Linked DNA regions of Macaca mulatta. The protein of the gene in region 1 interacts with the protein of each later gene in a biochemical or structural test. Links are inferred from orthologs where the notes say so. Each region holds a gene or a part of one and is shown in the gene's direction. Other genes may lie near its edges.

Region 1 (9,877 bases):
ATCCCAGTACTTTAAGAGGCCGAGGTGGGTGGATCACTTGAGGTCAGGAGTTCGAGACCAGCCTGGTCAACACGGCGAAACCCCGTCTCTACTGCTGGGCGTGGTGACATGTGCCTGTAATTCCAGTTACTCGGGAGGCTGAGGCAGGAGAATTGCTTGAACATGGGAGGCGGAGGTTGCAGTGAGCCAAGATCGTGCCACTGCACTCCAGCCTGGGCGACAGAGCAGGACTGTCTTAAACAAACAAAAACCCAGCTAATCAAAGATGAGAATTTCCCTGATCATATGTACAATTTGTCACCTCATAATATACTATATACTGTATATAACACAGTATATGTTCTAATATATAATATAGTATATATTCTAATATATAATACAGTATAATACAGTATATATATTCTAATATATAATAGAGTATTACATAAATTCTAATATATGTATATAGTATACATGTATATCTTCCTTGATCTTGCTGTCTTTCCAGAAAACAATACAGCATACCTGTTTAAAATGTGAAATTTGACGAGTTTTGAGATATGTATACACCTGTGAAACCATTAGCACAATAAAGATAATGAACATATCCATTATCCCTGAAAGTGTCAGCTGGGCTCAGTTACTGGGCCCAGTTACTGGGCTCAGTTAGTGGGATTACTATATACATGTATAGCGTACATGTATATAGTATACATCTTATATATATATAGTATAATATATATTCGAATATATTCTATATAATAGAAAAGATAAACAATACAAAAGACAAATTTCACCTCTTTTTAAATTTTTTACTTATTTTTATTTTACTGGAGACCGGGTCTCGCTCTGTTGCCCAGGTTGGAGTGCAGTCATGCAATCACGGCTTACTGCAGCCTCGAATTCCCTGGGCTCAGGCTATTCTCCTATCTCAGCCTCCGAAGTAGCTGAGACTACAGGTGAATGCCACCATACCTGACTATTTTTTCTTATTTTTAGTAGAGGTGGGATTTTGCCATGTTGCCCAGGCTGGTCTCAAACTCCTGAGCTTAGGCAATCTGCCTGCCTTGGCCTCCCAAACTGTTAGGATTACAGATAGGAGCCACCATGCTGGGCCAAATTTCACTTCATAAAGTCCATCAACTTTTCTCTCTCAAAAACATTTTTGTTTTTTTTAGAGACAGGGTCTTGCTCTGTTGCCCAGGTTGGAGTGTAGTGGTATAATCATGGCTCACTGTAACCTTGAACTCCTCGGCTCAAGTGATTCTCCCACCTCAGCCTCCTGAGTAGCTGGGACTACAGGGACATAGGTGCCATCATTCTGGCTAATTTCTCCATTTTTTGGAGAGATGGGGGGGGGTCTCGCTAGGTTGCCCAGGCTGGTCTTGAACTCCTGGCCTCAAGCGATACTCCTACCTTGGCCTCCCAGGCACAAGCTACGATGCCCCATCTGAAAATTGTATTGTGAGGTAAACCTAATATTATTACAAAAGCGCATAAAACTGGTATATAGAGTTTAACACAGTTATAAAGGGAACAACCCTGTAAAAATCCTTTAAGAAATAGAACACTGAGGCTGGGCGTGGTGGCTCATGCCTGTAATCCCAGCACTTTGGGAGGCTGAGGCAGGTGGATCACTTGAGGTTAGGAGTTTGAGATCAGCCTGGCCAACATGGTGAAACCCTGTCTCTACAAAAATACAAAAATTATCCGGGTGTGGTGGTGCATGCCTGTAATGCCAGCAACTCAGGAGGCTGAGGCAGGAGAATCAGTTGAACTTGGGAGGCAGAGGTTGCAGTGAGCCGAGATCGCACCACTGCACTCCAGCCTGGTGACAAAGAGAGACTCCATCTCCAAAAAAAGAAAAAAAAAAAAAAAAAGAAAGAAAGAAATATAACAATGACATGTTTATTTAACAAATGGAAACCACTACGGAAGCTTTTTGGGTCAGGCCAGTGGCCCCCAGGCTCTGCTTTATGGGATATGGAAGGGAGGAAAGTCTGTCCCTGGGGATTCTTCCTGAGACCTAGGGAATGAGGTTCACTTTCTTCAAATGAGCTAGGACAGGGAGGTGAGGATCATGGCATCCTGCCCCTTTCCCATCATAGGCTCTGGCCTGGCATCTGGCTATTTCTTACAATAATAACTCATGGTTCTCAACTTTGGTAACTACTGACATTTTGGGCCAGATAATTCTTTTTGTTGGGAGTGCTATCCTGTGTGTTGTAGAACATTTAGCAGCATCCCTGGTCCCTACTAGATACCAGTAGCACCCCCAAGTAGTGACACTAAAAATGTCTCCAGATGTTATCAAATGTCTCTGGACACAAGATTGACCCCTGTTGAAAATCACTGCATTTGGCCAGGCACAGTGGCTCTTTCCTGTAATCTTAGCACTTTTGGAGGCTGAGATGGGAGCATCGCTTGGGCTCAAGAGTTCAAGACCAGCCTGGGCAAAGATGGCGAAACCCCCTCTCTACAAATAATACAAAAATTAGCCAGGTGCGATGGTGCACACCTGTAGTCCCAGCTGCTTGGGAGGTGGAGGTGGGAGAATTGCTTGAGCCCAGGATACGGAGGTTGCCGTGAGCCGACATCGCACTACTGCACTCCAACCTGGGTGACGCGGCAAGACCCTGACTCAAAAAAAAAAAAAAAAAAAGGAAAAAGAAAAAAGTCAATGCATTCATAAATATTTATTATGTTCCATGCACACTGTTAACAGCTATACATATGTTACTTAATTCCTTCTTCCTGTTTGTCCCCATTTTGCAGATAAGAAACTGGGATTCAGCAGGATTAGATAAATTATTGAAATTGACACAGCTTTAGTGAATGACTGAGCTGAAGTTTAAACACAGCCTTATCAGTCCTCACTTTGTTTTTAACAAACATGTAAGGTTACCTCCCCAGATGTGGAGGGTGAGATATATTTCAGGTCTTGCTTCTCCCACAGTCTAAGGCTAGGCATTTCTAAATTTATAATTCCAGGCTTTTTACTAGACAGTTCCTTTTTATTTTCTTACCAACTGTATTAGTCCAGGTTCTCTAGAGGAACAGAATGAATAGGATAGACATATATATATATAAATGGGAGTTTATTAAGTAGTATTAACTCGCACAATCACAAGGTCCCACAATAGGCCTTCTGCAAGCTGAGAGGCAAGGAAGCCAGTTTGAGTCTCAAAGATGAAGAACTTATAGTCCAACATTCGAGGGCAGGAAACATCCAGCACGGGAGAAAGATGTAGGCTGGGAAGCTAAGCCAGTCTAGCCTTTTCATATTTTTCTGTCTGCTTTATATTCGCTGGCAGCTGATTAGATGGTGCCCACCCAGGTTAAGGGTGGGCCTGCCTTTCCCAGCCCATTGACTCAGCTGTTAATCAGCTCACTGCGACCTCTGCTTCCCGGGTTCAAACGATTCTCGTGCCTAAGCCTCCAGAGTAGCTGGGACTACAGGCGCCCACCACCACGCCCGGCTAACTTTTTGTATTTTTAGTAGCGACGGGGTTTCACCTTGTTGGCCAGGCTGGTCTTGAACTGTTGACCTCAGGTGATCCACCCACCTCGGCCTCCCAAAGTGCTGGGATTAAGGCGTGAGCCACCGTGCCCAGCCCTTTTTCCACTTTTAAGTACTCTTACGACAACACTGGGGTCACCCAAATAATCCAGGATAATATCCCTAATTTAATGTCAGCTGATTAGCAACCTTAATTTCATCTGTAACCTCAATTCCCCTTTGCCATGTAACCTAACCTATTCAGTCTCTGGGAATTGGGAAGTGGACATCATTGGCAGGTGGTATTCTTCTGCTTGTTCTAGGCACACTTGCCCACAAGTCTAAATCGAGAGTTTGCATATAGGAGGTAGGAGGTGTGACAATAATTGGATAAAGGCTTTTCTGGAATTACAAAATTCTCTTCAAATACAGGGAGGCCCTGCGGCATGATATCTGGCAAATCACTTGAGTCTTAGTATCCAAATTTCCGCTAAAATGGAAATTGCCATCCTTTGCTCGGCATATTAAATGAAATACTTATGTAAACGGACTTAGATTAGAGGCCTACAAATAGGACTCAAGTTCTTGATGAATCTTGATGAGGAGGGTGGGCGAAGTACTCTAAATGAAAACGAGATAGACTGAGAGATTTCCGGAGAGGAGTGAGTGACAAGCGCCTACCCGTGCATGAAGCTGGAGGTAGAAAATTCCAGCAAAAGGAATTTTCAAGTTTCATTGAAGCTTCTGAATTAAAGTTTGAGGGGCCAGGGTTAAAAAAAAAAAGGTAGTGAAGAGGCTCATTAAGACAACCCCCGCCAGGTAGCAGATAGTACCTCAAATGCAGTGGGAAATTTGTGAGTTCTTCATAGGCAAGGATTAAATTTTACATCTCCATGTTAATATATGTCATAGTTGTTCAATTACTTAGTGAACAAAAAAGTTGTTAAGGAAAAAAAAAAGCACCAATGCAGGTTCCACCGAGATTTGAACTCGGATCGCTGGATTCAGAGTCCAGAGTGCTAACCATTACACCATGGAACCGCCACGCATATGTAGTTGCCTTCGGCTCTCTGATCCTTAGACAACCCCGCCCCCATCCACAAACCCACCACTCACAGGCGGTCCCGCCCGGTTCCAGCGAGTCGCTTCCGGGCACGGTAGCTCGAGAAATAAGCAAGAGGCCACTAAGACCACGGTAGCTAGGAATTCCAGGACTCAGTTTCCCCTTTGAGCCTCCTTTAGCGACGAAAGTTTGAAGCCCCACGCATCGCGACTCTCGTGCATACCGCCCTTCTTGGGTTCAGGGACGGGGAGCCGCCCCCGGAAGTACTTCCCCTTAAAGGCTGGGGCCTGCCGGAAGTGGCGCAGCGGCAAGGAGGGGCTCTTCACCCAGTCCGGCAGTTGAAGCTCGGCGTTCGGGTTACCCCTGCAGCGACGCCCCCTGGTCCCACAGATACCACTGCTGCTCCCGCCCTTTCGCTCCTCGGCCGCGCAATGGGCACCCGCGACGACGAGTACGACTACCTCTTTAAAGGTGAGGCCATGGGCTCTCGCACTCTACACAGTCCCCGTTCGGGGACCCGGGACACACTCGGCGGACGTGCCGGCCACCCGTGCACTGATAGAGGCCTGCCTCAGCCCTTCCTTTTTGTGTGGTTCCGTCTCCTACCCAGCTCAGCTTCTCTCCTCCTCAGACAGGGGTCCCCATCACATGCCGCTCTCTGAGCGACCTCTCCGTGGGCCTTGGCTGGCCTCACAGCCCCTCCCTGCGTGTCCTTCCCCTGGCGGACTGCCTTCTCGCATATCGTCGAATTCCTTTCCCTGGGTTCTGCGGCCCCGCCGCCCCTCCCACCATCTCTCTTTTCGGGTGTAGCGCCCCCTCCCCCTCAGCGTACACCTTTCCCGGCTGGCGTCCTCTCCCGAAGCCCCTGTGACGGGTTCTTCGCTTCCCTCTTGGCCTTGCCTTCGGTGCAGACTCCCACTACAGGTCTTTTCTTATCTGCCCCCTTTCCCCCTCGAGCGAGCCTCTTTTCTGCATATCTCCTCCCCTTGTTCGGCCCCCCCTCTAAGCTTCTCGCATCCCGGGTCCAGGACCCGGTAAAATCTGAGCGGGCCAGGGGTCCCCACCCCCACCCTCCGCCCCGCGGTTCTCGCGGTCCTTAACCTTCTCTGACCGCTCCCTCCCCCACTCCCCATTTGGCAACTCTCTCTACCTTCCCTCCCCAGATCGTGTTTAGAGCTCCCTGGTCTCCGTTGCGACCCGGGTGGTGGGAGGGTAAGAGGGATCGACCATCACCCAGTCGCGCACTTGTCGCAGTGACCCGGCAGGCTGACATTACTTCCCACCTAGCCTTTTATTATCTTGCTCTCCCTACTCAGTGGCACACAACCCGGGATAACTCTTTACTCGGTTCGCGAGAAGAGGTTGCGGATGGGTGGTGGCTGTTATCCTTGCCAGACCTGAAGGCCCGGTTCCTGAGCAGGAAAGGTTGTGCGCTGCACAAATACTAGCTTGCTTTATCTCTATGGACTGGTTGCTTCCTGCTGCAACACTGGGAGGATCCAACAGGAAGGGAAGAGCCCTAGTTGGCCACATACCTTTCCCAAAAGGTTGGGGGTAGGAAGGAAGTTGTGTGCTCTTTTGGTCACATTAAATATTTATTATAAGGTACGGAAACATGTAGTGCCCTTGGATAGAACATATCGGAGGGTCAGGGTTGGTTAGAAAGAATTGCTTATTGGTTGAGTCCGGAAGGAATCCAATTTTTTTTTTTAGTCAACGAAGATAAAGGGTACATTTTTCAATAAGAAGAAAGTACAGTAGATGCTTTTATTGTTCAGTGAATGTACTCTCACTCTGATGCTCTTTCTCTGCTCCTGAATTGGGAAGGTAGCCATCAGTAGTGTGCTGAACAAAGATCATTACCACTGAGGAAGAAGCCATTGCTATTAAAGCTTTACTGTGGAGGGTGGAGTTTAAAGAGTGTTAAGCATGGTGACTGTTTCTGTCTTTGCCATTGGGTGCTAAGAATGATTGACTAAACCAAGCAGGAAAGATTTGTTTGCTTTCCCAATACTTTGCAAATCTTGTTATACTAGCCTGCTGTTGTACTCTTGTCGTCTCTTACGCCTCTGACCCAGAATATTCTATTGTATAGGGTGAATACTTTTGGTATCCCCCCTCCACCCCATGCTGGAAAGTACTTTCAGGGTACTTAGTTCATTTTACAAATACAAAACTCAGACCTGGATTACAGAAAGTATACTATAGCATACGTTTTGCCGAAGGTATCTGAGATGATGTGAAATTATTTGAATCTCTTGAGACTTTGGGGTTAAAGGGAGGTTTGTGTTTTAAAATATGGTATAATGGTAGTGTGCCTTTATAAAGGCTGTCTTTGAAGTAATTAATTCAGAACAAGATAGACCGTCAGGGTATTTCTCCTATTTGGTTTGAACTGGAATGTTGGTTATACAAGGTCCTTTTATTTTTTAACAAAGAATATTAAATATTCTGAATTGGCCTAAAGTATTTCAGCTTTTTGATTAGACCATCCTTCTAGCAACGATTGAGAGCACCGAGCTTTGGAATTAACGTAGATTTCGGTTTAGATCCTGACTCAGGTCTTATATTTACTATATGACCTTGGAAAAGTTAACTTTTCTGAGTCTCAGTTCTCTCATTTATGTAAAGGAAAATACCTGTCTCTTAAGATTGTTGTGAGAGTTAAATGAGACTATTTGTAAAATTTTAACCATGAGGACTCAATAAATGGTAATAATGTGAAAGAAGTTACTGTGGTTTTGTCAGTTTTTTTTTTTTTTTTTTTTTTTTGAGACAGGGTCTCGCTCTGTCCCCCAGGCTGGAGTGCAGTGGCACAATCAAGGCTCACTGCAGTCTCGGCCTCCTCAGGCTCAGGTGACCCTCCCACCTCAGCCTCCCTAGCTACTCTCTAGCTCCTAAGAGTAGCTGAGACTACAAGAGTGCAGCACCACGTCCAGCTAATTTTTTTTTTTTTTTTTGTAAAGACAGGGTTTTGCCATGTTGCCCAGGCTGGTCTCGCACTCCTGGACTTAAGCAATCCACCTGCCTCAGCCCCCGCCAAGTGCTGGGATTATAGGCGTGAGCCAGTGTGCCTGGCCTTTGTCGGTTTTTTGAACCTTAAATGTAGGTTCAACTACAACAGCGTTTAAATATTATTAAAAAAACATAAAACTGGAAACTTCTAATGCATTTTATTTTTCCATGGGTTATGGTTTCATTTTGTTGTGCATTTTGCTGTTTAAGATAGGGTATTAAAACTTCTGCTGAGGAGGATTTCTACTTTTTTGTTTTTGAGATGAAATTTCGCTTTTGTTGCCCAGGCTGGAGCTCAATGATGCGATCTTGGCTCACTGTAACCTCTGCCTCCTGGGTTCAAGCGATTCTCCTGCCTCAGTCTCCCGAGTAGCTGGGATTACAGGCATGCACCACCACGCCCGGCTAATTTTGTATTTTTAGTAGAGACGGGGTTTCTCCATGTTGGTCAGGCTGGTTTCAAACTCCTGATCTCAGGTAATCCACCTGCCTGGGCCTCCCAAAGTGCTGGGATTACCGGCATGAGCCACCGTGCCTGGCCAGATTTCTAATTTTTTAAAGCTCTTACAGGATATGAGTCACTTTTTTCTTTTTTTTTTTTTTAACTTCAATACTGATTATTTAGCCAATTTCTTATTTATACAAGTATCCTGCTTTAAAGTGAAGAATGATTTTATTTTAAAATAACTTTATTGTACAGAGATTTATTCACTGAGATGGACTGCAGCTGTTTGTACTTAGACTTAACCTAGCAAATGCAATAGTTGAGGAAATTGGAGTTAGTTTGTAACTAACAAGTTGAAAATAAAGGGATATTTTAATTAATAGGGGATGGAGTGGTCTAAATAGGAATGTAATGTGGGACGAGCAGTACAATTATTCTAAATTATGACCTTTATTTAAGCCCAATAGTGAGACTTTTGGTGGGAGGGAATTAGTTTTATTTTATTTAAACTTTTTATTTTTAAAACTTTAATTTTGTATTTACAAACAATGTGGTTAAGGCCCTGTGGGACGTAAGTAAGCATCAGTCATAATTTCTGTTTACAAATATTGTGTGGTAGGCACCAATCCAAAGTTACATTTTCTGAAAATACCTGGATACATAGTCTATTGCTTAAGACATTTTCTTTTCAATCACATTGGAAGTCAGTAGTAATTAACCGTCAGCTGATTGTCAGTATAAATTATCATGGAAACTTTGCTGTCTTGCATCTTGTTAGTAGTTTTTCTTTCACAAGTTTTGGTTGAGCAACTCAGATTCTGCTGAATCTGGAAAAACTTGTCTAGACTTGAGCCTTATTGTTTGCATTATATATATAATTCTTTCTCTCTCTCTCTCTCTCTCTCTCTCTCTATATATATATATATATATATATATATTTTTTTTTTTAGGCAGGGTCTCCCTCTGTTGCCCAGGCTAGAGTGCCATGGCACAGTCATAGCCCACTGCAGCCTCAAATTCCTGTGCTCAAGAAATCCTCCTGCCTCAGCCTCCCAAGTAGCTGGAACTACAAATGTACTCCACCATGCCTGGCTTCTTTTTTTTTTTTTTTAAGACTATCCTACTTACAGAAATAAAAATTTCTTTTTTGTGGAGATGGGGTCTCCCTACATTGCCCAGGCTGGTCTCAAACTCCTGGGCTCAAGGGATCCTCCCACCTTGGCCTCCCAGAGTGCTGAGATTACAAGCATGAGCCACTGTGTCCCACCTTGAATGCATTGTATATTAAAAACTTTTGAGGAGGTTGGACTGTATGAATATAGTTGAAAGAATAGAAATGTCTCGAAATTTATGAAAACCAGAATGAAAATTACCAGTTATTCTTTCAGGTGGTAACTTTTAGGGTTGAGGTACTGTCTTTGATGAATTATATTTTGGTCCAGTAAATTAGTTTGCAAGAGAAAGTATAAAACTAAATGTAGTTGAAGAAGCAGAAATTTTTAATTAAACAATGGATAATTAATATGTATATTCTGCTTTTATGCATTTAGCAGCTTGATATTTAGTATTAGGTATTTGCGATGATACTCAAATACGGTAGGTGTCTAGCTGATAACTTTTTTTTGAGACAGAGTCTTGCTCTGTCGCCCAGGCTGGGGTGCAGTGGCCGGATCTCAGCTCACTGCAAGCTCCGCCTCCCGGGTTTAGACCATTCTCCTGCCTCAGCCTCCCGAGTAGCTGGGACTATAGGCGCCCGCCACCTCGCCCGGCTAGTTTTTTGTATTTTTTAGTAGAGACGGGGTTTCACCGTGTTAGCCAGGATGGTCTCGATCTCCTGACCTCATGATCCGCCCGTCTCGGCCTCCCAAAGTGCTGG
Region 2 (9,937 bases), on another chromosome or scaffold:
AATGTATTCCTACACAGACCCTAACCATGTGTGTATGGGCATTATTTAGGAGCTACAGAAATCAGGAGAGAAATGGACATAGTCCCTGCTACCAGGGACCTCATGGTCACTCCTACGACCTTCCATACAGTTTCCCAGATACTCCAGTGATAGACAACAGGGGTAAGAGATGGTAAGGATAGTCACAAGGACAATAGCTGTCACTAACCAGCAGCACTGTTCTGACACTTACATGTATGTATTAACTTACTGACTCTCACCACAGCCTTATCCGCACCTGTAAGTGGGCTACACAGTCTGTACTTTCACCTCTCCGCAGGAGCACATGAGAGAGGTGGTCAAGGGGGCAAGATGGGGGTGGTCATGAAAGGCTTCCTGTAGGAAGTGCCACTTCCACAACACAAGGACAGGAATTAGAGAAAGTGGAATTGGGATGGAGTAGGATTGAGGCCTCCCACCCACTAAACAGAGGGAGGCAGTAGGGAGCCTGGATGCTCCCACACTAGGGTTAAGGAGTGCAGGAGAGTATGAAGACACTGCACAATGCCAGCTCAGGCAATGGTGGCCATTGAGTTTTCAGCAGGGGAGGGACCTGATCAAACTTGTTTCTTCCTAGAGAAGGGGCCAGAATCCCAACTGTCCCTTCCATGTATATTTCCCAGTATATTTCCAGCCTGACAAGGCTGCTGCAGCTGTTGGAAATCCCCTGGAGAATCAGAGGTCACCTGGAGGAAGTGGAGAACAGTAAGGAGGCTCCCCGCCTTCCCACTCTATCCATGGGGACCTCTTGCTTTCCTGGAGCAACCCCCTTCACCCTGAGGTTCCCAGTCCTGCAGCCGGTCCTGACATGGATATTCTCTTGCTGCTTCTGCTCGGGGTTGCACTTTGAGCTCTTCGATCAAGGTGATGGGAGCCTTAGTGGTCCCAGGTCCACGTCCAAGGACCCAAGGACTCCATAAATCTCACCATCTCTGAGGGACCTTTGGGTAGGCACTCAGCAGGCCCTCTTGGGCTCCTAGAGCCTGGGACCTCAATGTAGATCACACTGGGCCATGACTGTCCCCATCAAGTTCAGCAAGTGGCTGCTCCCCTTTCACTGTCATCCTAGCATACCCGACACAACATAGGTGCGCCACAAAAACGTGACAACCCCAGAAAGAATGCCTGTGATGTGCTTTGCTGGCCCCAGCAGCACAGCGGTGAGCAAGAGACCCAGTGCCACTGGTGGGCGAGGCAGGTGTCCTTCAAACCATTGCCCACCAGAGACAAAACTGCAGAGACCTGGGCAAGGAGAGTCGGGTCAGGGAAAGCTCTCCTGGGGGATTTTTGAATTTGTGATGATCCTATCTTTGACAAGAACTGGCTAATCTCATGGCGGGATCCTGTCTTGGTTCACTTGGGATTTGTTCATGCTCAGGCCTGAGGTCCCCGCCTCTGCCAGCTGAAGTGGGTGAGTCTTCCAGCTCCCCTGTCCCCAGTAAGGGGGCATTCAATGCCAGGCAGAGCGCGGAGAGCCACTTCTGCAGCCCCCACCAGGGGGCAGCCCCAGCTCCTGGCCATCTCCTTTCTGTGCTGAGCCCCTTGGGTGAGAGAAAACCACACAAGCTGACCTTGGACGAACTAATATCGGGGTCCCAGGGGCAGGCAGCAGCCCCCAGCTTCCACTCCCTACCTCCTTGCCGGGGAGCTGGCTGAGTCTCCAGCAGCCAGTCTCTCCCTACCAACCGCCCGTCCTTATTCTCCATTTCCACCTCCATTTTGCAGGGTAGGCCGGGGGAAGCAGCATTGCTTAGATTCGCTCTCATCTTCAGTCGCTCTAAAAGGAAGGCACTATTATCCCCACTGTACAGGCGAGGAAACCAGCTAAAATATGTTAGTATCCGGCTGAGGGGCATCCAGCTAGCAGAGACGCTCTCACTCAGCCGAATACCCCCACTCCAATCCCAAGGCCTCCCCTTTCCCGCTTTCACACATTTCCGACTCCTCAATCCTCAGAACCACAGGTCTCTCTTCCCAACAGGTGCTGCCTTTCATGGCTCTCAGAGGAACCGAAGGGTCAAAGGAGAGTAGCTAAAAGCCAGGTTCATCCCAGGAGCCAGGGCTGGAAAGAAGAAGGCCCCGCCCACTATCAGAAGGCAAATGGCAGTCCCTGTGCAGGATATATTCAGGGTTGAGCAGGAAGACCACAGAGCTACAAACCGAGGCCCAGCTAGGGGAGGTCATGCAGTTCACCCCGGACTCCCACTACATTGCTCCTGGCTCCTCACACAATGGGCGGGCCCATCCCCTCTGGGTGGGGCTTCCTCTGGGCCCACTCTTGGCTGGAGATCAGGGACTTGAAGGTAATTAAGACATGTCTTGCCCTGGAGGGCTTCCCAGCATGGTAGGGAAAATGGGCATCCCACTAGAGAATGAAGAACTAACTGGGCATCTGGAAGAAGGGCCTAGAACTCAGGATAGAAGACAAGATGAGAGTGCCATCAGAGAAGCCTTCCCGGAAGGGGAAGCCTCAGTGCTGAGCAGGACAGCACAGGTGGGAGTAGCCTCAACCAAGGCCTGTTTTTGGCTTGGGGCCAATCGTTGCCACAAAGACCTGATGTGCCCAGCAAGGAGGAGGAGAGCAGAGGAGAGCCCGGCCCGGTCCTGCAGGTCCCCGAAGCGCGGCTGGGAAGTCAGTACAAGCTGGGGTGGAGGCTCCGCTGAGCACTAATGGGAGGAGGCCAAGGTCCTGACCTGGAGCCTGCAGCCACCAGGACAGAGATTCTGTCCTGGACTCTCTGAGCTTGGGGCATGCGGGCTGCCAGGGAGGTGTGATGGTGGGAACTCGGGGAAAGGGAGGAAGCCTCCTCCAGGCGTGGGGCAGCCCTGGGTCCTGCCACAGGCAGGCCTCTGGAAGGGCCTCGCTTTTCCTCCCTTGGGCCTCATCCTGGTTTTCTCCTCACCTCCCTGTCGCAGGGTCCCGGGTCCAGGCTGGGGTTCAGTTCCCTGCTCCTCCTCTCTGTGCCCTCCCCCCGCCCGATGGCCCCACAACTGCTGTCTTGGAGTAGAGCGCCGGGAGACCGCGGCGCCGAGGTGAAGAGCGGAGTCCAGAGCCCTCCAGAGCTGGGAGCGAATCCCAGCCCTGCCTATCGCGAGCTGTGTGGCCTAGAGTGAGTCCGACCTCTCTGGGCCTCAGCTTCCTCCGACATGAATGCAGTCACGGAACGCGCCAACGCAGGAGACACCCAGGACATCCTGACCCCTCGGGAGACGCGAGGCGCGGCAGCGGGCACGGGCAGCGGAGAGGGGCACGACCCTGCGGAATCCTCCGGCAGGGCGGGGCCTTCGGGTGGCTCCGGGTGTCCAGGGGAAGGGGCGGGCTCCGGGACGCGGAGGGAAACTGAGGCCGCGGAGGAGGCGACCGTAGGCAGCGCGCTGCGCCTGCCGGCCCCGCGTGGACGGCCCCACTCGGGAGGACGCGGGCTCCTTTTGTCTGCAGCGTCCCCGCCGCCGCTGCCGCCTCCCTCTCTCCCTCCCGCTCTCGCCGCGGCCCCCGCCCGTCCCCTCCCCCGTTGCCCCCCCTCCTCCTATTGCCCCTCCCCTCCCCCGTTGCCCCTCCCCCTTATCCTCCCCTCTCCCCCTCCCCTCCCCTCCCCTCCCCTTCCCTCCCCTCCCCTCCCTTCCCCTCTGGAGCGGCGGGGGCTGCGGCGCCGCTGCTGACACTGATCGGCCGCGGCCGCCACCGGGCGGAGGCTGCGCGGCGCAGACCCAGGCGGGCGGCTCCGGAGGGCGCGCGGCGATGGCGGCGGCGGGAGGGCGGCGGGTGCGGCGGGCGAGGGGTCCGGGCTGAGCTGCGGGCCGGCCCGGATGGCGGGCGGCGCGGGCTGGGCGGGCGCCCCCGCGGCTCTGCTGCGCTCCGTGCGCCGCCTGCGCGAGGTGTTCGAGGTGTGCGGCCGCGACCCCGACGGCTTCCTGCGCGTGGAACGCGTCGCGGCGCTCGGACTGCGCTTCGGCCAGGGCGAGGAGGTAAGCTGGCCCGACCCCAGTCCCGGTCCGGGGACCCCAGCCCAGCCCCCAGCCCCGCCGCCCCTCCCCCAGCTCTCCCGCCGGGTCACCCGCGTGGCCCGAGGCAGTGGCCTCCCTCCCAATCCCCTCCCTCCGCCGGAGCCCAGGACCTCGGTCCCCCGGGTATCCCCGGCACAGCCGAGCCCTCACTTTCCCCCCTTCGTGGCGCCTGTGCCCCGAGCATCACGCGTCACGCCCAGGGTGGCTTCTGCGCCCACCTTCCATCCTCGGTCGTGCAGGTCCTTCTGAGCGGTCTGCACATCCACCCTTGTCTTGGGGAGAGACCTACCAGAATCTGGTCCCAGGCTCCCCACCCCACCCCCAGCTGCGGAGAACAAGATGCAAGGGTCTGTGTACGCTCTGCTGGGCCGGGCCAGGGGGTGAAAGGGACAGGTAGGGGTGCTCTGCAGCCTTGGCTCCTTGGCTGCACCCACCCTGCCCAGACACAGGAGAAGGTGTCTGCTGGGGCCACCGTGTATTCCCGGCCCAGTGCTGAGTGACCTCTCTCATTCAGGCTCTGCTGGGCAGCCAGGCTGGCAGCCGGCTGTGTTGGCTGCAGCAGGCCAAGCAGAGCCAGGCTCGGGGAGTGGTGGCTGAGCAGAGGGCTTTCATGTGGCATCTATTTGGGGAAAGCAGGACTTACGTAGATTGTTAACAGGGCTGGAAGCGGAGGGTCGGTGCAGCCAGTAGGGTGGACGGAGTCATATCACCACACCAGAGTCCTCTGGTGGCACCGGCGTGGGGACTGGGGACTTTGTCTTTAGGGGAAGACAGAACACCCACCTGGCTGAAATGGTCAGGGATTTCCCCTGGAGACAAAAGCCCTGAGAAGTGGGTTTCCAAGACCATCTAAGGCCTCAGGCCCTGCATGGGGGGCCTGGGGCCATGGGCCTCAAATGGGCACTGGCTGGCATTGTGTTCCCGGGACAGGTCAGACCAGGCATTTCAGGACATGGGGGAAGCTGGATGATGGCCAGGTTGGACCCGTGCCTCCGTGTCACCAGACAGTGAGAGACGATGGAGAATTATCTCTCACTGGCACCTGGGCATGGGCCGGGACCTGTGAGTTGCTGAGAGCGGTGGGCAGAAGAGAGCGAGGCAGCTTCAGGGCTTGAGAACTCAGGTACCCACCCCAGGAAACACCACTGCAGTGCCTGTGAGAGCCCAGACTGCCCTCTGCGGGGCTCTGCTGAGGGGCACTGCCTGCTGCCACCATGACCTTTCTTCCCTAAAGGCCAGCCACACCCTTCCCTTTTCCCGGTGGTTCCCATCTGGGGCAGGCTGAGCCGCCTCCTGGTGTAGGTAGAGTCCCGCTCCTTCCTCTCAGGACACAGGCTGCAGGGCGGGTAAAGAAGCCACCAGCTCTGGCTGAAACCTGGAGTCCCCGAACCACAGAGCCTCAGTGGTGGGAAGGGTCTCCCAGCAACCTCTGGCAGGGGCCACCAACCTCGGCCACGTGCCCAGCAAGCCTCACCCACTTCTCCCCCGGCTGGACAGTTCCTGCCATTAGAACCTTCTCCCTCATACACTCTAGAGACAGACCTGCTCGTCACTTAGTCATCACCATTCTGCACAGGGACTCACATAGGTCTCTTTTCTTTGCCGGGGCCTTTAAATATTTGAAAATAGCACTCATGCCCCTTCTCTCCTTCCTAGCTCCTTACTCCCATTTTCCCTTCTCCAGGCCAAATACCCCAGTTCCTGAAGCCCTAGGCCATTTCCATGTGACCCAGTAGCCAGACATCTGGCTTCTGGCCCTGGAGCTGCCATCACCTAATTCTGTGATTCAGTTTTCCTAGCAATAACATGAAAGGGCTGGACCAGCAGACCGCCCCCCCGCCCACCCAAGACTGTACCAGCCCCAAGACCTTACACATGCACGCAGCTCAGGGTGGGGCTGCCTCTGCACTGTCCACTCATATTAAGTTTCTGGCCACCAAAACCTCCAGGGATCTGTTTTAGAAACCTCTGCCAAGCCAGGGATTCTCCACCCTTGGGGGAGCGTCAGTGATTTCTTTCTTTTAAAAACATACTCTGATATTACTACAGAAGCGGTGGATATGCACTGCAGAAAACTGGAAATAGGGACAAGCAAAATAAAACGTATTGTGTCCTATCTCTCCCGCAGCGCCTCGATGACACTTCTGTCAGACCTTTCCAGCTGTTTCCATGCTTATATGCCAATTTTCTCCAGAAAATGAGATCATACTGTGCATACTGTTTTGTAACCTGATTTTTTTGCCGGTAAATGATCATCACTTTTCTGCTTCAATAAATTTTCATCTTGTTTAATATGCAGACCTTTTTCAGATTTCCCTATTTGACCCCAAAATGTCCATTTTTGCTGTTTCCTCTCTAGGACTGTGCAGTGTATGTGGTTGTTGTCACCTTTTAGTCTCTCTTACTGTAACACAATTCCTTTTTTTTTTTTTTCTTTTTTCTTTTAACAATCCTGGCTTGTGGAAGCATTCGGGCCTGTTATCTGTGTCAATAATTTCTGGAATATAAGCCTGTTTCTTGGCCCTTATTTCCATTTAATTTCGTCTTGTTCATTTCCTCACATTGTATGTGTCAAGAAAGAGAATCTACCATCCTACCTCTGTCAGTCTCAGCTGTGGAGAAGCAGTGCTTGGTGTGTCTGAATCCACAAGGCTGGTTAAACATGCGGGGCAGGACCATGGACAGGGCCCCGAGGCACTTGTAGGGGTGGTTTTCTGCTCACACTGTATTGACCGAGACCCGTGGAAATATACTTTGCATCTCTACTCACTACCCATCATATCCCCTGATGCATTACAAAATCGGAGCGTTGTTTTCCAGTGGTGGAGGGGGCCTCCCTTACAAAATGCAGTGTACTCTAACTGTTTCTATTTCATTTGCTTTAAAATCAGGCAGTGGCATTGATTTCCTAGCCACTTGGTGCTCTGGGGTGGATAATGCTCATTCATTAGATATGGAGTTCAGTGAACTTACAGCTGATTGTCCACAGTTTACCACCTACCCCCAGAATACCAGGGATACCAGGATCAAATGCTTTGCAGAAACCAAAATATACTAGGTCATAAAGTATGAAATAAATATCCATGAGGCCATAATGAAGTATATATAGTATAAATTATTGAACAAATGAATAATAAATAAATAGGAAAATCTCTCGTATAGAAGAAATCCAAATAACATATGCTAATAATTGCCCCACTGAGGAAGTAAAGCATAACTTCACACCCTGTAAGCATGAGGTGTGTAGTGGCTTCCTTATAAAGGGTAGAGTTTGGAAAGGGGAGGGGAAGAACAACTGTATAGTGGAGAAACCCAACACACACTGTCTCAGAAGGTGATCAAGGCCAACATCAATAGTGACAGGTCATGATGATGGCATATACCCTTAGTGTGATGTGGTGAGAATAGACCTTTTCCTCTGTGGTCTTCCTCCCAAACCAGGAATCCCAGTCTAGCCCTGAGAAAAACACCAGACAAATCCCAACCGAGAGGCATTCTACAAAATACCTGATTAGCACCTGTCAGATTTGTCAAGGTCATCCAAAACAAGGAAATTCTGAGGCACTGTCACAGCCAAATGGAGACTAAGGAGGCAGATGACCAAATGCAGTGTGGTGTCCTGAATGGGACCCTAGAACCAAGAAGAGGACATTAGGTAAAAACTAAGGAAGTCTGGATCAAGTATGAACGTTACTTAATAATGGTATTTATGGATTAGGTTAGTCCCTGATAGTTCCCTACTTTGTTGACCTAGATATCACAGCAGAAAAGAGGAGACAATGGCCCAGGTGTGGTGGCTCATACCTGTAATCTTAAAACTTTGGGAGGCTGAGGTGGGAGGATCCCTGGAGCTCAGGAGTTCGAGACCAGCCTGGGCAACATGGTGAGATCCCCATCTCTACAAAAAATACAAAAATTAGCCCGGTGTAGTGGCATGCACCTGTAATCCCAGCTAGTCGGGAGCCTGACGCAGGAGAATCGCTTGAACCCAGGAGGCAGAGATTGCAGTGAGCTGAGATTACATCACTGCATTCCAGCCTGGGTGACAGAGTGAGACTGTGCCACAAAAAAAAAAAAAAAAAAAAAAAAAGAAAGAAAGAAAGAAAAGGAAGAAGGAGGGAGGGAGGGAAGTAGGAAGGAAGGAAGATTTTTGAGGGATGGGGGCACACCACTGCCCTGACCCTGAAAGTCTACAATGCCAGGGGAGCAGGACTCTGATAAATATGTAACATGATGGCTCAACACCCTGACCCCGCGTTGCCTTCCTGATGTATTGCATAGTCTCCCTAACCTCTTTAGGCCTCTATTTACTCATCCATCAAATGGAACTGATCAGAGGCCCCATTCCATAGGGTTATTTTGGGATTTGAGTGAGTTAATACATACAAAGGGCTTAGCCCAGTATCTGCACAGAGTAGGCATAATATCAGAATTGCTGGCGCTCTCCTTGTCATTATTATTATTTTCTTAACACTTGCAAGCATTTTTGAGAGGCTGTTCTAGGCTGGGGATTTGCTAGAAATTGAGGTCAAGATCTGGCACCGGCCTCTGTGTGTTCAACTTACCCTCCTTAACCAGCTGTGGTGTTCCTGCCCCTCGTGCGTCCCCCCGGCAGTCAGAATGGCAGACATTGAAAGCAGCCAGAGATGTCCTGGACCACACTTCCTTGTGACATGGTCCTCTTCCCTTTCCAGTTTGAAGACCGTCCTTCTTGCTAGAAAAATGGAAATAAGAATCACCAAGTAGGCCTCTGCCATGCATTAACCCAGCACCATCTCCTCTGGACAGCAGGCCTGCCTGCTTGGAGATGAAATGATGGTCCCCATTCGGCTCCCTGAGTCCTCGGGTCCCCTCTGAGCTAATGCCCGCTATTGGGGAATTGCTAGTGTCACTTGGCTTAAGCCTGGGTCTTTGAAATGGCAAAAGGGTTGGGGTGCTAGGATGGGCTGAGACCAGCCAGGAGCCAGCCCTGGGGCTGGGGTCGACGTCTTCTGAGATACATGGGCGTCCAGGAACAGGAGCACCTGGAACTAAAGCTCCTCTGCTCATGAGTGGGGATTGGATAATGGGGAAGACATAACTGTATCCCCTCCGCTGTGGCCGGAGGAGGCGGTGAAGGGGAAGGTAGGGCCAGATCAGTGGTTCCCTGGAGGCAGTGAGGAGACCTAGGCAGCCAAGAGTGGATGTGTGTGGGAGAACGGGATGGGGAGCAGGACTGGAGGCAGAAGGCCTCCTCAGGACTGTGGCACATGGTAAGAAAGGAAAAGCAGCCTGACTTGGGCAGTGGCGAGGGGTGCAGAATTGACAGGGGCCTGGAAGGCCGGCAAAGCCCCAACAAGCCACTCCCAAAAGATGATAGTTAAAGGTGCTCTTTTGAGACCAGGCAGCCTCGATGTACCCCACCCTAATGAGGCCACCCTGCAGAGTAACAAGGCTGGCACATCAGAAGGAAGGCCCAGGTGCCCTGAGCCTGGCAGGAAAGGTGGGAGTGCCTGGGACCTGAGGTGGGAGCAGGACAGGAGTGGGCCCAGAGAGACGTTCTCTTTCCTGTGCTTCTGGGGAACGGTGCTCCTGAGGTTGGAGGTCATCATGGAAGTGGGGCCAAGGCTGGGGTCCCTTGGGGCCTGGGGATGGGCACGTGGCACCACACTCTGCTTTGGGGTGGGAGGACAAGTCCTAGCTGGGGCACCCTCTGGCCTCTCATGCCCACCAGTTTGGCTGTGCTGGGAGGAGGCCAGATGCAGAAAGTCTGCTGGGACTCATCCATCTTATCAGACACGCCCCTGCCTTTTTTTTTTTTTTTTTTTTTAATTGAAACAGGCTCTGGCTTTGTAGCTGTGGCTGGAGTTCAGGGCTGCATCACCACTCACTGCAGCCTCGAGCTCTTGGGCTC

Evidence for each region.
Region 2: the proteins of RAB11A (region 1) and RAB11FIP4 form a complex in vitro, tested with the Homo sapiens proteins (2 studies listed by BioGRID, with this or other methods). The link is inferred for Macaca mulatta from reciprocal best matches to the Homo sapiens genes RAB11A and RAB11FIP4.

The regions. Positions count from the first base shown.
Region 1 is NC_133412.1:43,313,600-43,323,476, forward strand, and holds the start of RAB11A (ras-related protein Rab-11A), read left to right. Parts: upstream 1-4,855; 5' UTR 4,856-4,972; coding exon 4,973-5,012; intron 5,013-9,877. UniProt on the Homo sapiens protein: The small GTPases Rab are key regulators of intracellular membrane trafficking, from the formation of transport vesicles to their fusion with membranes.
Region 2 is NC_133421.1:40,784,195-40,794,131, forward strand, and holds the start of RAB11FIP4 (rab11 family-interacting protein 4), read left to right. Parts: upstream 1-3,772; 5' UTR 3,773-3,846; coding exon 3,847-4,005; intron 4,006-9,937. UniProt on the Homo sapiens protein: Acts as a regulator of endocytic traffic by participating in membrane delivery. Required for the abscission step in cytokinesis, possibly by acting as an 'address tag' delivering recycling endosome membranes to the cleavage furrow during late cytokinesis.